3 linked regions of the Nothobranchius furzeri genome follow. The protein of the gene in region 2 interacts with the protein of the main gene of each other region in a biochemical or structural test. Links are inferred from orthologs where the notes say so. Each region holds a gene or a part of one and is shown on either strand. Other genes may lie near its edges. The genes, in order: gda, dlg3 and cript.

The links.
Region 1: the proteins of dlg3 (region 2) and gda form a complex in vitro, tested with the Homo sapiens proteins (2 studies listed by BioGRID and IntAct, with this or other methods). The link is inferred for Nothobranchius furzeri from reciprocal best matches to the Homo sapiens genes DLG3 and GDA.
Region 3: the proteins of dlg3 (region 2) and cript form a complex in vitro, tested with the Homo sapiens proteins (2 studies listed by BioGRID and IntAct, with this or other methods). The link is inferred for Nothobranchius furzeri from reciprocal best matches to the Homo sapiens genes DLG3 and CRIPT.

The regions. Positions count from the first base shown.
Region 1 is NC_091757.1:40,759,138-40,762,737, reverse strand, and holds the start of gda (guanine deaminase), read left to right. Parts: upstream 1-1,357; 5' UTR 1,358-1,414; coding exon 1,415-1,543; intron 1,544-2,092; coding exon 2,093-2,181; intron 2,182-2,308; coding exon 2,309-2,480; intron 2,481-2,794; coding exon 2,795-2,882; intron 2,883-3,600. UniProt on the Homo sapiens protein: Catalyzes the hydrolytic deamination of guanine, producing xanthine and ammonia.
Region 2 is NC_091741.1:84,158,075-84,166,734, forward strand, and holds the start of dlg3 (disks large homolog 3), read left to right. Parts: upstream 1-3,496; 5' UTR 3,497-4,301; coding exon 4,302-4,664; intron 4,665-8,660. UniProt on the Homo sapiens protein: Required for learning most likely through its role in synaptic plasticity following NMDA receptor signaling.
Region 3 is NC_091756.1:43,770,381-43,779,040, reverse strand, and holds the start of cript (cysteine-rich PDZ-binding protein), read left to right. Parts: upstream 1-3,652; 5' UTR 3,653-3,793; coding exon 3,794-3,809; intron 3,810-3,967; coding exon 3,968-4,033; intron 4,034-4,316; coding exon 4,317-4,371; intron 4,372-5,157; coding exon 5,158-5,261; intron 5,262-8,653; coding exon 8,654-8,660. Other genes in the region: pigf (phosphatidylinositol-glycan biosynthesis class F protein), read right to left, coding at 151-259, 335-451, 608-699, 2,985-3,212. UniProt on the Homo sapiens protein: As a component of the minor spliceosome, involved in the splicing of U12-type introns in pre-mRNAs. Involved in the cytoskeletal anchoring of DLG4 in excitatory synapses.

The sequences.
Region 1 (3,600 bases), on a different chromosome or scaffold from region 2:
TGTCTTGACCAGGACCACACCCCTAAATGCATTGAAGCAGCTGCCATGTGATTGGTTGATTAGATAATTGCATTAAGGAGAAGTTGAACAGGCGTTTCTAATAATCCTTCAGGTGAATGTACATATGTCAAGACATGGTTTTATTCTTTTATTACGGTTTTAATGTTATATAATTGCCGAATAAAATTAAAAAAAAACTTGCTATAAAGTTGTTTTATTAGCATTAGCTAATACAAATAATTTTTAAAACTAGATTTATAATTATCTCATGTTTCAGGCATGCCACATCCATAAATGTTACTGTTTCATTCATAAACAGAAATAAGCTTTAATCCATGTCATGGTCATAAAACCAAAAATTATTCTGTTTTATTTTTCATTTGGTTATTGGTGTGTGTGTGCGTGCGTGCGTGTTTACATTATTAATATAATTTTAAAGTGAAAGTACAATTCTGACTAGTAAAAGCTTTGAACACTTTTGGGTAGTAAAACGATAGATTCCTGTAGGGTACATATCCCTTTGTACTGGGCTTATTTGTTGCAATATATTTTTTAATTAGTTAAATCTAAAAAAAAAAACGATAACACCTCGGTGTTTTGAAACACAACAATATTAAACATCAAAATCACCAATTTAGCATCATTACATTAATCTAAAAGCATATTAAAAACAAAAGAAAATATCACAATTTCACCACAGGATTATATTAAATTATAAATAAATGTTAAGTAATAACATTATTTCTTTATTTTCCATGTTATTAAGCCTTATTTCAGTTGTTCTGACAGCCTTTTTTCTCATCCTGACCTGAGTCCATAAAATGTTTATTTTCTTGTATGATGTCATCTTAAAGAATTCATGTTTTCATCTGTCATGTGATCCTGATAAAATCAAGAACGAACTTTATCCGTTTTTTTTCATCATCGTGGCGTGTGTTAGTCATGGAGGTTCTCATCACTTTGAAACACTCATGACTGAAACATCATGTGTTTTTACACATGATGCTTAATAATAATCTTGTAATTTCAGTCATTAATGTTTTCTTGTTAACTCGTGAGTTTGTAAATAAGTTCTGGAAATAAAAACTGCTTATTTCATAAACAAAAAAAATTAATGGGCCTTAAAAATAAAAATGAACATGTTTTTTGATACAACATGAAGATTAGTGTAAAGCTGTGTTTTGGTTTTAAGCTGTTTTCATTTCATCTGTGAACTTGGCGTACCTTTTCTGCTCGCGCGCGCACACACACACACACACACACACACACACCTCACCCATCCTCTAATCTGATTGGCTGCGTACCGGCTCTGCGGTCAGGTGGAGGCGCCCTCTAGTGGACGGTGATCAGGAAGATAAAAGCCGCGTTTTATTGCAGCAGGTATCTCACCGCAACATATCACACTGCTGTAGTAATGGACTCCTCCGTCAGGTCCTGCTCCGCTGTTGCGTTTGTCTACAGGGGGACATTTGTCCACTCGACGCCTCAGACACCGCTCCAGATCCTAGAAGATGCGCTCCTGGGAGTGGACACCCGAGGAAAGGTTTGACAAACTCCTCTAATTTGATCGGGTTTATTTACAGTTTATGTTTTCTTTTTCAAATTGACAACTGAATAAATGATCTGATAAAACGAAGGCAATGAAAAGTTATAAACTTATAATATTTTATCTTGAGTTGTTTCCCGGTGACTTGATCATTTGCGCTTTTATTATAATAAATTCTCATTCAGCAATTTCCGTGAAACTATTCTTTACTAAAGAAAAACAATTTATTCATTATGTAACCCAGACAAACAGGTTAGTGTTATTATTTAACATAAAACATAAAAAGAAATGTTTTAATTTATATATATGATTTTCTTTATATGTGACAGTCCTTGTGACATTTATATATATCCACTTTAGACAAAAAAAAAACCTTCTTACATTTTTGTTAGGTGTTGTAAAATAAACCTATTGAATAAAATTATAACAGAATGCAGAAATACAGGAACTTTTTGGTAAATATCAATACAGGAAGAGGGTGAGGTTTTCTGGTTAAAAGCTTGACACATGTTATAAATACATCTAATTACCTCTTTCTGTCATCAGATTGCTTTTATTGACAAAGGAGGAGAGTTACAGGATTTGTCTCAGACCTTTGGATTCAGTCCATCTAAAGTCATCCAACTGGAGGATCAGTAAGAGAATGAATTATGACACACTAGACGGGTCAAGTCAGAGATTAACTTAATTAAATCCTTATGAGACAAATAAACACATTTACACACCTTTTTTTTTTGTTTTTGTTTTTTTGCTGTGTTACAGTGAGTTCTTCATGCCTGGGATGGTGGACACACACATTCATGCCTCCCAGTACAGCTATGCTGGCACAGCCCTAGACATGCCTTTGCTGCAGTGGCTCAACACCTACACCTTTCCTGTGGAGTCCCGTTTCAAGGACTTACAGTTTGCCCATAACGTCTACACACAAGTAGTGGTGAGCAGGATGCAGAATTTTTACCCCAAGTTCACAATTTAGTGACACCATTGGTTTAACCCTCCCACTGTCTTAATGGGTGTGACCCCACGAGGAAAGGTGGCCATTGAGCATGGTTGATGGTTTATCCCTTGGGTCCATGTGGCAGGGGGGAGGAGTGAGCACCACCTCACCCCTGCCACATGGACCTCAAGGGATAAACCATCAATCCTGCTCAATGGTCAACTTTCCTCGCGGGTCACCCATAAAGACAGTGGGAGGGTTAAAGTTTGAAATGAAGTGGTCTTCCTGTAATGTAAGCTTGTGTTTTACAGAAAAGAACCCTAAGAAATGGAACAACTACAGCCTGTTACTTTGCTACTATTCACACGGATTCTTCTCTTCTGCTGGGGAGGATTGCACGTACGAAGTTGCACACGCACACATGCACAGGGAAACACTGTAATTCAAATCAGCCTTTCAATGCAGAAAACAAGAATAACATTTCGTTAAACAGCATATTTGAGCTCATGATTCAGGATTGATTCACAGCAGAAAGCTGACTTTTCTCCTAATTTGCATGACTGCAGCATCTATACCCCACCTTTTCTTTTTTTTTAGCTAAACATACATTTTCCATTAAAATCAAGTTGATTGTTTTGGATGTTTTTTTTTTTTTTGCATAACTTCTCATCTTGCAGAACAAGAAAATCTATCCTCTTTAGCTGACTTAACACAAAAATGCTCTTTCTATTCATGGGATTATTCAATTCAATTCAAAAAATACTTTATTAATCCCAGAGGGAAATTGATGATGTCATGCCCGAAATCCTTTAGATCAGCAGATAAAAATGTGATCAAGCCGTCACATGTTTGGCTTGATTCTGAAAGAGGAACATATCAGATATTTGAGCTTTATTTTATTTTTACCAACTGTTCCTCTGGACTCAGCAGAAATGTGCTGAAAAGCAGAGCAGCCTTTTACCTTTATGCCTTGTTCTTATCATCTCACTGTCTTGTTGCATAACGCCGAACGCAGGCTCACATAAATGAGTAACGGTGAAAACGCGGAATCGTACATGAGGTTTTGCAGCCTCACTCGGTCATTTTATGTAATCGTGGTCACTGAACCCTTAACTTT
Region 2 (8,660 bases):
TGAGGTGGGATGTAGAGAAGCATTTCTGTTTAAATGCACAAGAGGGTTTCTTCATATGAGCATCTTTTTTATTTACCTCCAGGTTTTTATGTACACAGATTATATGTATTATCATATTATATAAATAATTTATCAGCGATGATCAGTCAATTAATCAGACATTAATCTCATATTACAGTTTCTATATTGATATGAGTAAAGTGAAGATCAGCTGATGTTTGTGTCACTACTACAGAAAGGAAATTAATTTTACCTCCTAAAACTACCAACTGAGATTGAGTAATGACAAATTTTTTAAATATGAATTATTAGAACAAGAAGATGATGATCTAAGATAATCAGATGTCTTTATCAGGACTGTTGCTAATAATGCAAATGTGAACAATCAGGATTTAGCAGTAAAAATGATATTTATGCCTTATTGTCCAAATCTATAGGGAGCCCAAGTCACGCCCATCTACTTCCGCACCATGGGTCCCCGGAAGTAAGAAAAAATGAATTGTAAGTAAATGGGTCTATAAAAGCAATTTTCTGATCCCGTTTGATACGTGCCATGGATTTCACCGTGAAATTTAAAGACACGTTTTGATGCCAAGAAAGTGCTTTTTTTGTGCTTATTTTCAAACAGCGCCAAAAGTTATTTTAGATTTAGTGCAAGAAGACAAGAAAAGATGTAATAATGATGAAAATCTTTTTCTCATTTTGCATCCCATGTGGAAAATCTAGGGGTGTTTCTGCAAGAATCTGGTGGTACGCTAATCTGTCACAATCCAGGGGAGACGATACGACTTATTGTGCAGGGTATCCGCGGGTCCTTAAAAAGTCTTAAATTTGTTTTACCAAATTTAAGGCCTTAAAAATCCTTAAAAATGACAAATAATCCTTAAATACAGTTTCCAAAGGTCTTAAATGTCCAAAGACCCAATAAACAAGATTCTTTTATTTCTATAAAATTTTCATAAATTTCTAGTTGGTGTTCAGCATTTTTTGTGTATGATATTGGCGTAAGCGGAACAATACACATTCAGTTGGTTGCGAAAGGGGGCTATTTTTAGATGAGCACATTGGCTGGTTAAGCTAGTGGGCGCTTGCGCCATGGGGAAGTGGAAGTTTAATCGTAACTGGATGGCTAATTCCACGTTGGCGACATGGTTAGCACTGGTTCCAGGCAATAGCTGGAAATTTTAGCTTAAATTTAATTTTTAAAAATTGCTTAAATTTGGTCAAAATGGCCTTAAAAAGGTCTTAAAAAGTCTTAAATTTAGCTCACTTAAACCTGCAGATACCCTGTTGTGATATTAAAAGTTGGACAATACAAATTTTAAGACTGAACTTATTTTGAAAACTCAGGCCAGAGCTTCCAAGACACATCTAGTGTTATCTCAAGATCTCTTCTTCTGGCAGAAGGAAGACTGTAAAAACTGCTGCCACCTAGCTGTCAGAGTTAGAATTGCACCATGCAAAAGAAGTGCATTAAATGTTTGCATGTAAATTCTCAATAAAAAATCTACAGTGCTTTTAAATATTGATTCAGTATCATTACAGAAAGTATCACAATATTTCATTCTATCAGTACCTTTTTACATCCCCAGGAGTCATTTATGCTTGTCCCTTTGCAAGGAGAAAGATTTGCTAGCTACCTAGCATTAGAGTAAAGTCGCCTTCTAAGAAATGATTAAATTGTCCTTTGTAGCTAATGTAAATTGGTTATAAGTATTTATGGTATGATATTTTCTTCTTTCCTGTAGATTAACTATTGCCATTATGCAGCTGAAGTGTTAACCCATCTGTTCTCATGCAGTGGAGAGGTTGTTTCTTTGTCTTCCGTTCTACAGATCCATACTTTAGATTTATGACGATTCAGGTTTTTTGTCCCTCCTGATTGCACCGTTTTATAAATACGATTTGAGGAGTTTAGAAGAAGCCCAGTGTGGTTTGGAGGAGTGGATGTGATCGTGTGTGCTCGGATCACTATGCTTACATTCGTTCCTCCAAGCTCCGCCTCACTTCTCTCATTGACTTTAGAAGGGATTGTGGCTGCATCCTGGGGCATTCATATATTATTTTCTGGATTCTTTTATAAAGGACATATTTGCCTCGTTTTTTTCCTTTTTGCCCAGAAAATCTCTGTAGGTTTGAGTGAAATATCATTAAAATGAAGTGAGTTACTGTTGCATGTAATTAAGTGTGGCTGAGCCTGCTGTGTGAGCCTCCTGGTAGGGTTGCAACACGATGCAGTGTGCTCTTGTTTTAGGATCCCGCGCAGTTTGACAAGAACCTTGCTCAGATCTCATACGTCAGTTATTTATTTTTTTGTTAAATGCTTGTTGATCCAAAAACTGCATATGTTCACTTCAAGCCTGTAACGAAACAACATTTGTAAATGCTGTGTTTCTCATGAAGACACACCCAGCTCTGTCTTCCCATCACATTTCATTAATAATGCATACATACAGGGCTTTAATGGCGACACTGTAACATTCTCCATCCGTTCTCTATAAAGATGAACCTCTCTGTCGGGATGTTTTGTACCTAGTTGTGATCAACCCACAAATTCATAGGAATGCAAAATGGCTCTCGGGCAGTCCTCACACTCTGCTGAAAATATAACTGCCACAGATACACGAAAGCCATATAGACTCCCCTTCTCTGTTTTCCCTTCACACTTTCTCATTCTTAATCTCTTCCTCCACCCACTCGAAAGCCTAAGCGGGTAATCTTATTGGTTTGGTACACATGTGTTGATGTCATCATTGTGAACATGAAATAACTCCCCTATGGTTCCTAAACGAGGTTTCAGAGGGACAGTATTGTCCCACTGTGCTTATTTTGACCAGGTTCTGCACATGGGCAGTGAAATAATTCAGCAGCAGAGCTGCTTTGCCGGCAGTCAAGGAAATATGAAGAATGATGCAAATCACAGTGTGATTAAAAGGCACCCTCTGCCAAGAGGCAGGACTAGTGATGGCTGGGATAACAAGGGGCTTTAAACTGATGAGTATGAGCTTATTTACTTAGGTGTGCTTTGACACAGAGCACAAGGTTTGGGAACTGATGGCACAAGAAAGATGGAGATTCTTCTGCAGTGCTAGAGATTATCAGGGATTTGATCAGTGATCCGTTATTGTAAATTGGATTTCAGCTGCAGTGTTGTGATGGCATAACATGATTTAGACTCACGTGTCAGCTTTAGCTCCTGTTATTGAGATGCTGCTAAACTTATTTTTCTTTAAAAACAAATCTAACCACATGGGCAGTTTTTATATGGCATAATTAGTCGAGAAGTGCCATCTCACTGAAGCTAGGCAGCAGTGAGATGTGCATGTCGCTGCCCCTTTAAGAGCAGCTAGTGAAGCGCTCAGTTCTGTTGGTGCTGCTGCTGATGGCAGCGCTGCAAGTTGATTGGCTGTGGCTGTCAGGGCTGAGCTGCTAGAGGGATGCTGCTACGTATCCTCCCCCTCCCCCCTCGCTGCCCCCCCCCTCTCTCCACCTCCCTCTTGCTTGCTCACATCCCTCTGAATAATCCACATCTAGGGCAAGCTGACTGAGAGGCGATCCAGTGCTCAGCTCCTCTCTGCAGGCTGAGAAAAAGAGACAGAGAGCGAAAGGCAACGATTTTCAACGCAGGAGGAAAAACGTGACGTTTTTGACGGAACAGGAAGATAACAAGAATCAAAAGAGGAAGATTTTCATCCGCGGATATCATTTATTTATACATCTTGTTTATATATCTCTCTATATATTTGTACACACACATATAGATATTTATATATAAACATTTATCCTTGTACATATCTGTATTTGTGCTTGTCCGTTTATATTAATATTTTTATATGTAGTTGTGTGTGTAAATATATATGATATATAAACAAAAGAATCTCTCTCTATATATCTATGAATTTATATGCGTATCACTGTGAACCAAGAGAAGCAAGAAGACATTTCTATCATCAGGGCTGGTCTCTGATTGCGTGGTGGCAAACAATATCTTAAACATTTCCTTTGATCTTCTACGTCAGAGGACAAAGACTACGTGCTCATTTTGTATTTTTGTTTTCCTGTTGCTGCTTCCCATTCCTCTGAAATTCTTTTTTTTTCTTACATTGAAGAGGAGTAAAGTGGAAATTGGCAGGATCGGACGAAGAAGGGAAAATCTGAAGCAATTCCTGTGATTAGTGTTATTTCCATCGGCATTAACGCTCTTTGAGCTGATCGCAGAGTGCTGTGTGAAATCCTAGGAGGACGCAGAGACAGAGTGCCACGCCGCTCTTCTCAACATCAGCCTAGCCAGCACAGCCAGCATGCACAAACACCACCACTGCTGCAAGTGCCCAGAATGTTATGAGGTGACCCGGATGGCAGCTCTACGTAGGATGGACGCCCCAGCGTACGGAGGTGAATGGCAGGCAGAGCCCTATGGATACCCACCTGGGTATGGAGGAGGCCAGACCTTACCCCCTCCAGCCTCAGGAGGGGGTGGAAGCATGGGAGGAGGAGGGGGCACTTTGGGGAGAAGTAAGGGCAAGATGTCTGGTGGGGGCCCTGGATGCCCTAACCCAAAGGGCCAATCCAAAGGGGGCCCCAAAGTAAATGGCAACAACTCCACTGGACAAGCAGGATGGTGGCCCGAGTGCACCTGTACCAACCGGGAGTGGTATGATCAGGTAACTCTTCCACTTCGCTCTTATTTTCTCAAGCATGTGATGCTTAATGGAGGGGGCGGGGCCTGAACTGAGATAAGTTAGTCATAGTAAAGAAAAAAGATATATTGATCATGTATCAGCTGTGTATTTTAATGAAACTTTAGAAATTTTGTATTAATCTCAAGTTTTCTCATTCTGCATTTGTTGTCTGTGGTTCCTCTGTTGGAACAGGACTGATCTGGTTTCACTGCATGCGCGCACACACACACACACACACACACACACACACACACACACACACACACACACACACACACACACACACACACACACACACACACGGCGACGATGTTTGGGACTGATGCAGATGACTAATGCTTATAGATTTAACACACCTAGTGTATGTCGTCAAAGGCCTATGCTGATGCAGTAACCATAGGCCTAAAATGTCCTTATATTGACGCGGCACAGTGATGCAGTTTGCGTTTTCCCCTCAAACCAGCAAATTCTTACGTTGCTGTCCGACTATAAACCTAAATGTAGGAATTTGATTCCTTCTTGATCGACTGAATGAAGGATTGTGTCGCATAAGCAATGAGCAGAAGAAGAGATAATAAAATCGATGGTCTATATAAGAGTTGTTTTAGACTAGCCTTTTTGAACAAACATAGCACTATAGGATGCTGTCTAATACAAACCTGTTTTCAAACACTGCCCTTCTTACATGTTGCACAGTGTGAATGAAACAGCCTTTTTCATTTTTTTATTGGCACCATTTTGTTTCTGTTAACGCCATTTATTTACATGTCGTTGGAAATTACAGTTGAGAAAAGGTCAGGACAGCTTCAGAAGCTGTCTTTAATTAAGCAAGGTGCACATATGTGAGAATGAGAGCGATCTTGGGTGGGGGATGGGCAGTTCGTACGGCATGAGATCCAAGGAATGGTTCTTGCTGTGCACGAGTAAGTGTTTATGCAGCCTTGCATTAGCAATGAGTGATGCAGCATCATTGCATGCGCCGTTTTCATTTGTGCTCGATTGTGTTTTTGGACAGAAAAATAAGAACAGGGAAGGTGAGAAGAAAATGGAGAGGGAGAGTTCCTCCTAAGATGAGCTCTCGTATGAGCCGCAACCGCTCTGATATTAGCAGACTACCGCTGCCAAAGAATGCTTTCAGTGAAAAGGGAAAAGGAGAAAACATTGATGCCTTTTTTAGTTTGTATTTCATTACAGCTGCATCGAATCCAGTCAGACGTAACTCATGTTTCACACATTTGAAGCTTGCAGCAGATGTGATTATGTAAGCAGTTATTGCTTACATGAAGGTTTTAGTCTCCCAACAGGACTACCCCCTTTTTTCTGCCACTCATTTGCAGAATATGTGTTAATTAATTATTATATTATAAAAATCAGTAGCTGTTAAATGGACTCCCATCTTTAGCCTGCGTAACGATTCCTCCAAGGGTCGTATGTTTTCCTGAAATTGTTTTAATATATCGACGTCCTTTTAAATGATCTTTTCTACCTTGTTCAATGTGCATGTTCACCCCCGTCAAATCTGTGTGGGGGAAACGTACAGCCTGCCCTTCGAGCCTCAAGTACAGCTGAATCTTCAGCTTTACTGTGGAGGTAAAAGAGCTTGAATTGAATATGAGAAGTCAGGGATGGGGCAGAGGTTCAGTGGGGGAAAAATGCAAAGGTTGAAAAGGAGACAAATAAACCAATAAAGGCAGGAAGCGGCCTTAAAGAGGGGGAGGGGGTTATGTAAGAAGAGGCAGTTGGTGATGCTGTCAGTGAGAGAAGCTGGAGAGGCACTGACACTATGGGGAAGCATCTGTCTGTCCATCTTTTAAATCAGCCATGTCAATGACCAGCATGCGCCCCTCCCACCTTCCCGTGAACATGATGGCGTAGCTGGAAATACACATCCTCAATCACTGCCACCTTTTTGGTTCTTAGTTATCATTGCTCGTTCTAGTTGGGAAATGTGAATCCCACCCTTCCTCCCACTACCTTCACACAGCTGGACAGTGATCACACACACGCCCCATCACGCATCATCTTTACGCTTTCATAACTAACCAGCCTTTTGGATGTTAGCAGGGTGAAATTCAGAGTGATCAGAGCTAGCCTCTATAGCAGCATCACTAATGTGAAATGGCTCTGTAGCGGTGAACATTTCACTCTTGTGTGAGGAAATCATTAGACGGCCCCATACAAATGAACTCCTATCCCCCGTCATCTATTTACAAAGTGGTTGTACTGCTTTTGTCATGAGCTTGCTGGGTTAATTGTGGTTGATTTCAGCTGGGATTATAAGAGCTTTCTTTTAAAACAAAAGCTTTTGAATTTAAATCTGAGAAAAGTAGAGACCTCAGTCTACTGGGATCATCCATCAGAAAGCTCCCTTTTTCCCCGGCGGGCTCCAATCTGTCTTTGTCTGTTCTCCAACTCTGTGGCTATGATTAGCTTTAAATATTAATTGGATTTTATTTTATTTATTAGCGTCAATATTGGGTCCAAGATGCTCTGCCAGAGCTACTGTTTACTGCTGTACTAGCAGAGGCTTAAAAGCATGCAGAGACACAGTGGGCGTTCCTCACTTAACACTCCCATAGGTGATTATGACATGAAAGCCTCCGTGTGTGTGTGTGTAAGTGTGTTAATAGTTACACAACAGTGTATTGTACGTTTGAATGATGAGGTTTTTTTTCTAGGTTAGATTTAATTTGCTATTCTCCTAGCAGCCTTCCAGAGAGTTTCAATGTATTGGATCTACAAGTTCTACATGTTCAAATGTCTCGAGCTGGAATCCCAACCTGTAATCCTTACAGGAGCCATTCAAAACCAGCAGCATTCTAACTAGTTCTTAAAAGATTTATCGGAGAGTGTTTCTTAGATGTATAGTATATTATCAGAATCAACGTGCAGTCGTAACGGTACAGAATCGTCTGTGTGAACAGCAAGCCGCTGCAGATTTTAAATTTATGAACATTTTTACAATCATGATTTTCAAACCTGAACCACAATTGAATTCCAACTAGAGGTCATTCAGTCTCAAGTCACATGAATTTTAAAAGAAAATTGTTATGAAGCCTGGGCAAATCTCATAATATGCAAATAATCATCAGCATCATAATTTCCAAAATTAGCAGATAACAGTAAAGGTCCAAACCTACAAAAAGATTAATATTATAGTACTACAACTTCACAATCAACAGCTTCTTGAAGACGAAACTATGCATATTACCTGCACGAGACTGAAGAATATCATAGTGCTACAAGGCAGCTTTTGTTCTCCAATGTCATCATCCTTCAAAACTGCAACTTGCCTGGAGTATTCAGGCGTTTCTAGTATCACATACTTTGATGCAACAGAAAGCAAGTTGCTGCAGCATCAACACACACTTTAAGGATTTTATGGGGGGGAATTGTGGTGAATTGTCTGGCAGTCAGAAAATTGTAGATGTTTAGAAAAGAGCTGCTGTCCTTGAACGAGAACTTTTTTATTTTTATTTTTTTACCTTTTTTGGTAGAATCTGAAGGTCCTAAACCATGTTTCTGAAAAAGATTTTATACTGCAAAGTTTTAGTTTGTTGAATTTAATAATGTCAATATTTTGATGCAGAAAAAGCTTTATCATTCAAGTAGTTTCTTGACCTAATACATTTAGAGGAAACACATTATTCCCTGTCCTCAGCTAAGCTCAGTCTTTTTAAGAGCACATGGGTCTACTTACACGTGAAGAAGACAGGTCAGCTGTTAGAACATTTGGGAGGCTGTGGTTGATTTTCCATGGATTGAAGATTATGATATGATTGAGAAACTTAACTGCTTAAATATTTTTCTAAAACCGTATGGGACAGTACGGGTTTTGGTATTTCATTTTTAGCAAGGGTGGGATCAGCTGCTCGTCATTGTAGCATATGTGAGGCCGTGCTGGAACACAGAAACGTGACTTCTCTGTGTGCATCTGTTTACTACTCTACATTGCATTAATTTAGCTAGCACTTTTCT
Region 3 (8,660 bases), on a different chromosome or scaffold from region 2:
AGTTAAGACTCATGTTGATTTTGCAAAGATAAAATAAAGGGAATTGTTTAAAAAAATTGTATTTAAGAAAGTTTGATCTCAAATTAAAAAAATAAAATTAAAATAAAAGCTCAATCATGTACATGTGGGTTTTCTATGCGAGCTGCTGACCTGCCAGGGCCTGTCCCAGTCCAAAGGAATTGGAAATGCTCCAACCCAGGCTCCTATCAGGGTGCAGGCCACTGTGATCTGCAGGCAGGTGTCCCACACTGACATGGCTCTGAGGACAGGGACAGATCAAGAGTAAAGTGTGGGAATGGGATGGAAAGATGATGACAGGAGAGTTTTGGCTTACCCATGCCGACTGAACACTCGTATCCAGGTCTGAACGTTAGGGCCAAGAACACAGAGGCACCTCAGCGTGGTCAGTGAGGTCAGGAGGACAGAAAGTGAAAATGTCTCTAAAGCAGATCTAAAAAGTATAAAGTTAAACACAAGCTGTGTCAGCTAAGTAAAACCGAAGAAGAGAAGCACTGCTGTAGATAAATCTAGAGTGAAAACAAGCTCTAAATACACTGTTTAACAATGTGTGTGTGTGTGTGTTACTTGAGCAGAATCAGCTACTCACTCTATCAATGGAGCTCCATAGAGAACCACCACCGTGTAGAAGAACAAACACGACAGGAAGAAGTACAAACAGGAGCGAGACAGCCTGGACAGCTGAGGACAGAAAGACATGATCGGATTAAAAACTAAATGTTTTGGGATGAAAACTAAAATCTTAGAGCATTTGAGAATGTGAATGTGAGGGATGGGTTCAAAAAATATGTGACCAACAATAAATTATAGAGAAGTTGATCATTTAAGCATGTAAAGAAGCACATCTTGCAAAATATAAAGATTATTTATTTGTCAATTCAACACACGTTAAACATGAGGTTCATTATTACAGCCTAAAACGTAGTAACTACAGTAGTAAAAAACATTTATAGCAAAATAATATCAAAATAGTAGTAAAATATAACAAGTCATAATAAACAAAGTGAAATAATTAATATTGTGTAAAAAAATACATTTCCTAACTTACAACTTTGGTTTGATATACTAAGATGTTTTAATGAAATAGTAACAGCTTCTAAATCCAAGACCATGCTCTTGAGTAGCCTTCTCCGGGTCAGGGATGAGGTCCCGCCTCAAGTGGAGGAGTTTAAGTATTTCGAGGTCTTTTTCACGAGTGAGGGAAAGCTGGAGCGTGAGATCGATAGGCGGATTGGTGCTACGTCTGCAGTGCAGCGGGCGTTGTACCGATCTGTCGTGGTGGAGAGAGCTGAGCTGGAAGGCGAGTTTACCAGTCGATCTACGTTCCTCCCCTCATCTATGGTCACGGGATTTGGGTAGTGACCGAAAGAACGAGATCACATATACAAGCGGCTGAAATGAGTTTTCTCCACTGGGGATCGGGTGAGAAGCTCGGTCATCCAGGAGGGGTTCGGAGTTAGACCAGCTGCTCCTCCACATCGAGACAAACCAGTTGAGGTGGCTTGGGCATCTAGTTAGGATGTCTCATGGACGCCTCCTGGTGAGGTTTACTGGGCACTTCAAACTGGGAGGAGACCCAAAAGAAGATCCAGGACACGCTGGAGGGTCTCTTGGATGGCCAGGGAACGCCTTTGGATTCTGCTCCTTCCAGATTTCTTTGTTTTCACCTTTTTGTCACGCCAAAATGTTTCAGATCAGCAAACACATTTTCAATATCGGACAAAGATAACCTGGGAAATTAAATGTTTAATTTATTAACAAAAATAGTCTAAACCAACCTGGAAACGCACTGTCCAAAATGGAATAATTTGCTACAAGTCTTAAGGATTATTCTTTTTTTAACAAATGTGAGAGGGTCCTTTATGTTCTTCTTTGTCAGCTGAGGTCGTCATCATAGGACTCTCACATGGAGGCCATTTTTGTTTCCCATCTCTTTTTATTATTAAATCCTGAAGTCTGACCTCGACATTAACCAAGTGAGACCTGATGTGTTGCTTCTTGAGATTTTTTTGCCTGCTTTATGAGACATGTTCTCTGAAGTCATTTCTAGAAGAGGCAAATGAACAAAACGTAATTCACGATTTAACAAAGGTGGAGGTACTTCCTTTGTTTCTTTGTACGCTTTGAGGTGACTTATGTTGTGAACTGGCGCTTTATGAAAAAATTAAATTTATTTGCCTCAAAGCAAGAATGCTGCAGGTTCGAATCCTGCCTGCATGGCCTTTCTGCGTGGAGTTAGGATGTTCTCCCCATGCTTGTGTGGCCCTTCTCCAGTAACTTGCTTCCTCCCATGGACCAGACACATCCATGAAAAGGGTTCAATAATGACTCTAAATAGTCTCTAGGTGGGAGAGTGTATGTTTGAATGGTTGTTTGTCCTTCTATATGACTGGAGACCTGTCCAGAATGTCCCCTAGCTCTCATCTGATGATGATTAGCGCTAAAGATGAGCCGTTTAGATCATGGATGAACCGAATTAAAATGAAATGAAACTCGGATGGTTTTGTTAGCTCTCTTCCCTTCATAAAGGACATAATCCTTTGAAAACTGCATTTAGTTTAGTTTACTCAAGTTCTCTTTGCCTGATGTTGAAATTTGTTTGATCTGAACCATTTAAGTGGGACAAAAAATTAAACAAATAATATATGAAATGTGTTAAGAGACAATTACTTTTTTCACACCTAAATAAAATAGATCATAACAAGAAACGCTTACAATTTCTACTTTTTCATCACCTCACCTTACAATATCCAAAACTTACCTTCATTTTCACACATCTATTAAATTTAATTAAAAAGCAAGTTGACTGATGTCCATTTCCCTGTCCAAATAATAATAATATTAATAATAACAAACGAATACATTTTGTAAAATTCATAAGATACCTTCACATATCACATAATACATTTATATGTCGAACATAATCAACAATTCACTTTAAAAACATTATCTAGTTGTTTTGGCACCTTGTATCCCAGTGTGTGCTTTTTGGTGGGCGGTGAGATGCCGAGCAGCCAGAAGATAGCGACGCTGACACAGGTCACCGTACCGGACACCGCGTAGACCCACAGCAGGTGAGTCCCATACACTGAGAAGCCCGGGACAAACACCGCGGGGATGACCGTGGCCATGAACACCGAGGCGGTGATAATCGCGTGAGTAGACGCCATAGCTTTAATTTCATGGTCCCACATGATGAAGACGTGAACTATTTACAACAAGAACCCGATAACGATGCGGGGAAGTCAAATAAAACACCTAAAAAACGTAAGGTAACATTGGGAAACTGTCAGGTCTATGTATTTCTTTTCCGCGTTTCCGTAAACACGAAGACGTAAGAACGTCCGCTTAATTTCACAGTAAAAGTCTACTGCGCACAGACATCTTAGGTGAATGATGAAAAAACATCCGTTTCGAAACATATTATCATAGATTATCGGGTCAGTTTATTTCAATTTCAAGTGAAAAAGGTGTATGTTTTACTTGTTACTCAATCTCTGCTAATGAATACGCTTGGGTTAAATAAGGTAAAAGTGCTTGACTTTATCAAACATTTATTTTGAAGAACCTATAAGCAAATAAACGGGAAGTAGTAAGTTATAGTTCGCGTTGCGTAACTCAATTGTTTTAACCAATCACAGAAGATGTTACTCGTTAAAGCAACCAATGAAACCTGTCATTTGAAATGCCTCAGCTGACCGGACGTTTACATTAGCAAAGCAAGCTAAAGCTAACAAACGATCATTTCTACTGCGTCATTCGACACACCGCAAAGATGGTCTGTGAAAAGTGTATGTATGTCATTTGCTTCTGATTTTCAGACGTATTGTTCATTTTAAAATCTGATGAACGTTACTTTTGTCAGCGAAAGTCTCAAATGCAAACTAGAAGGCCAATAGTTTAGTTCTTATTGTATTTTCCTCCATAATTGTTTTGTTTTATATTTTAGGCGAGAAGAAACTGGGAAAAGTAATTACCCCCGACACTTGGAAGGACGGAGCACGGAATACAACAGGTGACCCGAGGAATGCGTAGTGAAATGTTTTTTTGCCATCAGTATGATAAATTGCTGTTTGTTAATTATTCTAGATATGAGACTTGTTGTCTTGTTTACAAGTTACTTTTGAAAATGTAATCATTGTTTCTATATTTTTTCACGTTACTAGCAGGTTTAGTCCTCATTTGGTTGATCACGCCATAATATAAATTAATTGGTGTTTATTTTTTTTATATTAGTATAGGTATAGTAACATTTAGATGTCCGTGTTTAACAAGTTTGTCTTCTTTCTTTGTGTCAGAGAGTGGAGGACGTAAGCTAAATGAGAACAAGATTTTGACATCCAAAAAAGCCAGGTGAGTAAAAACAATTTATAGAAAAAAATAAACTTTAATTACAACAATCTAATGAATGTAAATACAAATATGAGAAGTCAGAGAAAATATTCTAAACGCATTAATATACTTATCTTAAAATTACCTTCTTGAAATTGAACCAAAAACTGTTATTTTACTAAAGTTCAACCTTATCATATAAAACTTTCTCACCACCATATTTGCTTGGGCATACATTTTGCTGCATTGGCACAAATCACCACATGAATCATCATTAATCATCTGTCCTTAGTATTTTACTTTATGAACCACGTTTAAATCCTGATCTTCTTCATTTCTTGCAATCATAACAGTTGATTTTTACATCATAGCTGGAACACACTCTTAAGTAACTGTTGCAAACCTGCTCTGAAGAGTAAAAGACCATCAAATCTTCAGCAGTCATGAGATGATTGGTCATTATTTCCCCATTCATCCACTCTTATGCTCTCTTAGTTAAATAAAACTTAGATCGTCCATATACAAGTTAAAGGGAATAGGTGACAATATCTGGTGAACCTTATTAGTAACAGAAAAGGAGTAGCTCTCATTTGGTTTTTAGTCTGATTGTAAGATTTGTATAGAATATGAGGTGACACCTTGTTCTTAAATCTTCCTAAAAAGCCCATCATAATGAACTCTTATCTGAACTATTCCTCAGAAGAAGTCACACAACGGTTTAGCTACTGTTTTTCAATGTTGTATATTACTAATTCAAAGTGGTCAGCTGATATAACTGGTCATGTGTGTAACAATTATTTTCATCAGGTTTGACCCTTACAGCAAGACTGGCTTCGCAATCTGCAGGATCTGCAAAAGCTCAGTTCATCAGGCTGGATCTCACTACTGCCAGGGCTGCGCTTACAAGAAAGGTATGAAGTGATTGTGCTGAAGATTTAGTTTTGTGTCACAAAAACGCTACAGCATTTCTATTAGCCCTTTTACATAAAACACACACACACATGCTCTCTATTCAACACCCTGCTGAGTTTTTCACATGTAATCATGTCACCAACAACATTATCCTTTTCCTCTGAGACAAATCCATCTGCATCCTATAGGAAAACGTGACAGTAACTGGGACGAGTTGTGAAACTGCAATGTTTGTCTGTTGTTGAACAATTCAACTTGTGACTTTTCTGCTCAGATGTTTTCATTTTTCAGTGTGTCTTAGTGTCAGAATCCGGAGAAAATTACAGCCTCACATCAACAGAGACTGTACTTGCATAATCTAGAGCCATTCTCGATAGGTTTGTTTGAATACAGTGTGTTTGTACTGTATTTAGGCTGAATGATGAAATGTAAACAGGGCTTTATCTAAAAAGGCATATCTTGATGAACATTGAAGCAAACTGTCTTAGTTGCAGGAAATGAAAGAGTGGAGTGGCCATGTTTCAGATGGTTCATCAAACATGGAAGATGCTCAGTGAAACAAATCATCTTTATAGTTTGCTGAAGTTTTCTTTTTTATTATAATGATTTCAAGGCCTACGTGTCCCATTGAACCTGCTGCCTTTGGTATGTCTTCATGATGATGCCTAGGTAGACTCACAATTAGGAATAGGGCTGCACGATATTAGAAAAACCTGCGATATTCGATAACAGTGTTTAATATTGCGATATCGATATTACTCACGATAAATGAACAAATACTAAAGTATGCAGTGTTGATGTCGTCTGGCGTGTGACGTCTGCTCTGGGTTCAAAGCAAACAAAACTAATGCATGAATTCCATTACAACATAACATTTTTATTGCAAAAATATGCAGCTGCACCTGCTACTGTATTAGTAGCAAAACAATAAACTGCATGCATGCAGTTTCTCAGTGACTTTAAAACATCACCTCCACCATAAAACTTTTTCTGATGCTCCAAATGCAGAAAAACATCCCTTACCAGGGTTTTTGAATAAATAAAAAAATATCAGAAAATAAGTTTAAATGTTAAATAATAGTTAACATCACTTAAATGGAACAGCAAATTCTCTCATTGCTACTGAGCATTTTCTCCACTTATGTGGTTATGATATAAGGCTGTTGCTGCTATTGGGAAGTGAACTGTGCTGGGCCAAACTAGGAGAATATTAAGATTTTCTGAGGGAAAGAGAAAAACAATTGTCTACCTTTCAGAAGAGGAACTGGCAAAAAACTACATGGAAAATATGTGAAAACGTTTGTTTTTAACCCCAAATTGAACAAGTTTACCTAGATCTTAAAATGCAGCTCAGATGATGAAACTGCAACTATGATTCTGATAACAAGCTAACAAATTGAACTAAGATAACTGGCTAGCAAAGCTTCTGATTGACAGTTTATGTGCAGCAGCAAATCAACTATCCTGATTAACAAGGTTATAAAAGCTCATAAATGAAAAATCACTTTGATGTGTGGGGGAACTTTTCCAGGCCCTTTTTAGCAGGGTGGGACTGGGAGGAGAGTGCTGTTGCCTTTTAGCTGGAAGCTAACCGGCGCCTGGGGCTAACATCACCACCCGGTGGAATAGTGAGAGAATGGCCCTGTATAAGTATGCAGACGACATGGCACTGGTGGCATCAGTCGGAGGACCTGTCTAAATATCAGCAGGCGGTCAGCAATCTGGTCCAGACATTTGAAGACTTTCACCTGGGGCTGAATATCTCAAAAACTAAAGAAATGTGCTGTGGGGCAGCCAGTGAGGCAGACACATCCCTGTTCAAACCCCTCAGCATACAGGGTCAGCCTGTGGAGCAGGTTCAGTCATTCAGGTATCTGGGAACAGAAATTGATGACCACCTGTCCTTTGCAAATCACAGCAACAGTGTCTACAAGAAAGCGCTGCAAAGACTCCACCTGCTAAGGAAGCTAAGAGCACTCAATGTGAACAAGGACATCCTAACAATTGTATACAAATAACTGATTGAATCCATTCTAACTTTAAATATTACAGCTTGGTATAACTTTCTTGCAGTTAATAACAAAACACAACTCTCTCGCATTGTTAAACTAGGCAGCAAAATTACAGGCTCACCTCAGATCCCACTTTCTGTTCTTCACGAGCGAGCAGTGCACAGGAAGGCAACCCTGATCAGTGCAGACTCAACCCATCCATTGAACCCACATTTTCAGCTACTTCCATCAGGAAGGAGGCACAGAGTTCCATTGGCCAAGAAAGGTGTCTATAAGAAATCATTTGTTCCCACCGCAATTACAATTTTGAAGTCTTAAAATTTTTTTTTTTTACGATAACATTTTAATACCTTTTAATTGTCTTTTATATATTTGTGTGAATGCGATATGGATTGTATTGTAAGGTGAGCCATGTCAAAGGCGAATTTCTGCCTCAATTCGAGGTGGACAATGAAGTTTATCTATCTAACACTAGCGATATGGAGGTAGGTGGGTTGGTTCACCGGCACGTGTCAGCCCGGTTACTATCAGCTGCTTAACAACACCGTGCGGACTCACGTTTGAAAGCAGCGCTGATTCCAGAAACCTCAGCACAAAGTGCGTTCGTTAATCTGAGCCAGCATGACGAACAAGGGAACGGCGCCGCTAACTCAGTTTGGGTGTTGCGTTCCACCCTTCCTAAGGGTCTATATAGGGGGCGGGCGTATTACGTGAACGGACCCATCTGATTGGCCGCATATCAGAAGGGCTACATTTGATTGGTCAAATAAAACTTCCGTGTAAAAAACAGAGCTGGTTTACAAAAAGTTGATGTATGACACAGATGGAAATGTTTGAACCAAACATTTATCGCTGTTTTTGACGTGCTTTGCGATGGGCCTATCGCACGTCCTGTTATCCCGATGACGATAAGTTTTCGATATATTGTGCAGCCCTAATTGGGAATTATGAAACTCATCATTTTTACTCCACTCTACATAATTCTTAGTGGAATGCATGGCTGTGCAGTTGGTTGCACTGTTGCTTTGCTGCAAGAAGGTTGCCGGTTCAATCCCACTTATGCGGCCTTTCCGCGTGAGTTGACATGTTTTCCTCATGCACGTGTGGATTTTTTCCAGGTGCTTTGGTTTCCTCCCACAAATCAAAAACATGCATGTTGAGTAGCTTTGGATAAAAGTGTCTGTAAAGTAAATAAACATAATAAATAAATATACAAAAGATGCTACACACTGAACACGTAGCAACATTGTTGATGAATAAACACACCTCAGTGTCTCTCAAAATGATTGTTGTAACGTTGTTTTTAATACTTAGAAAATATTTTTTTTCTGGATCATTCAAGAGTCTAAAGCTTGACAACTCATATCTTTCTCCTTCAGGGATCTG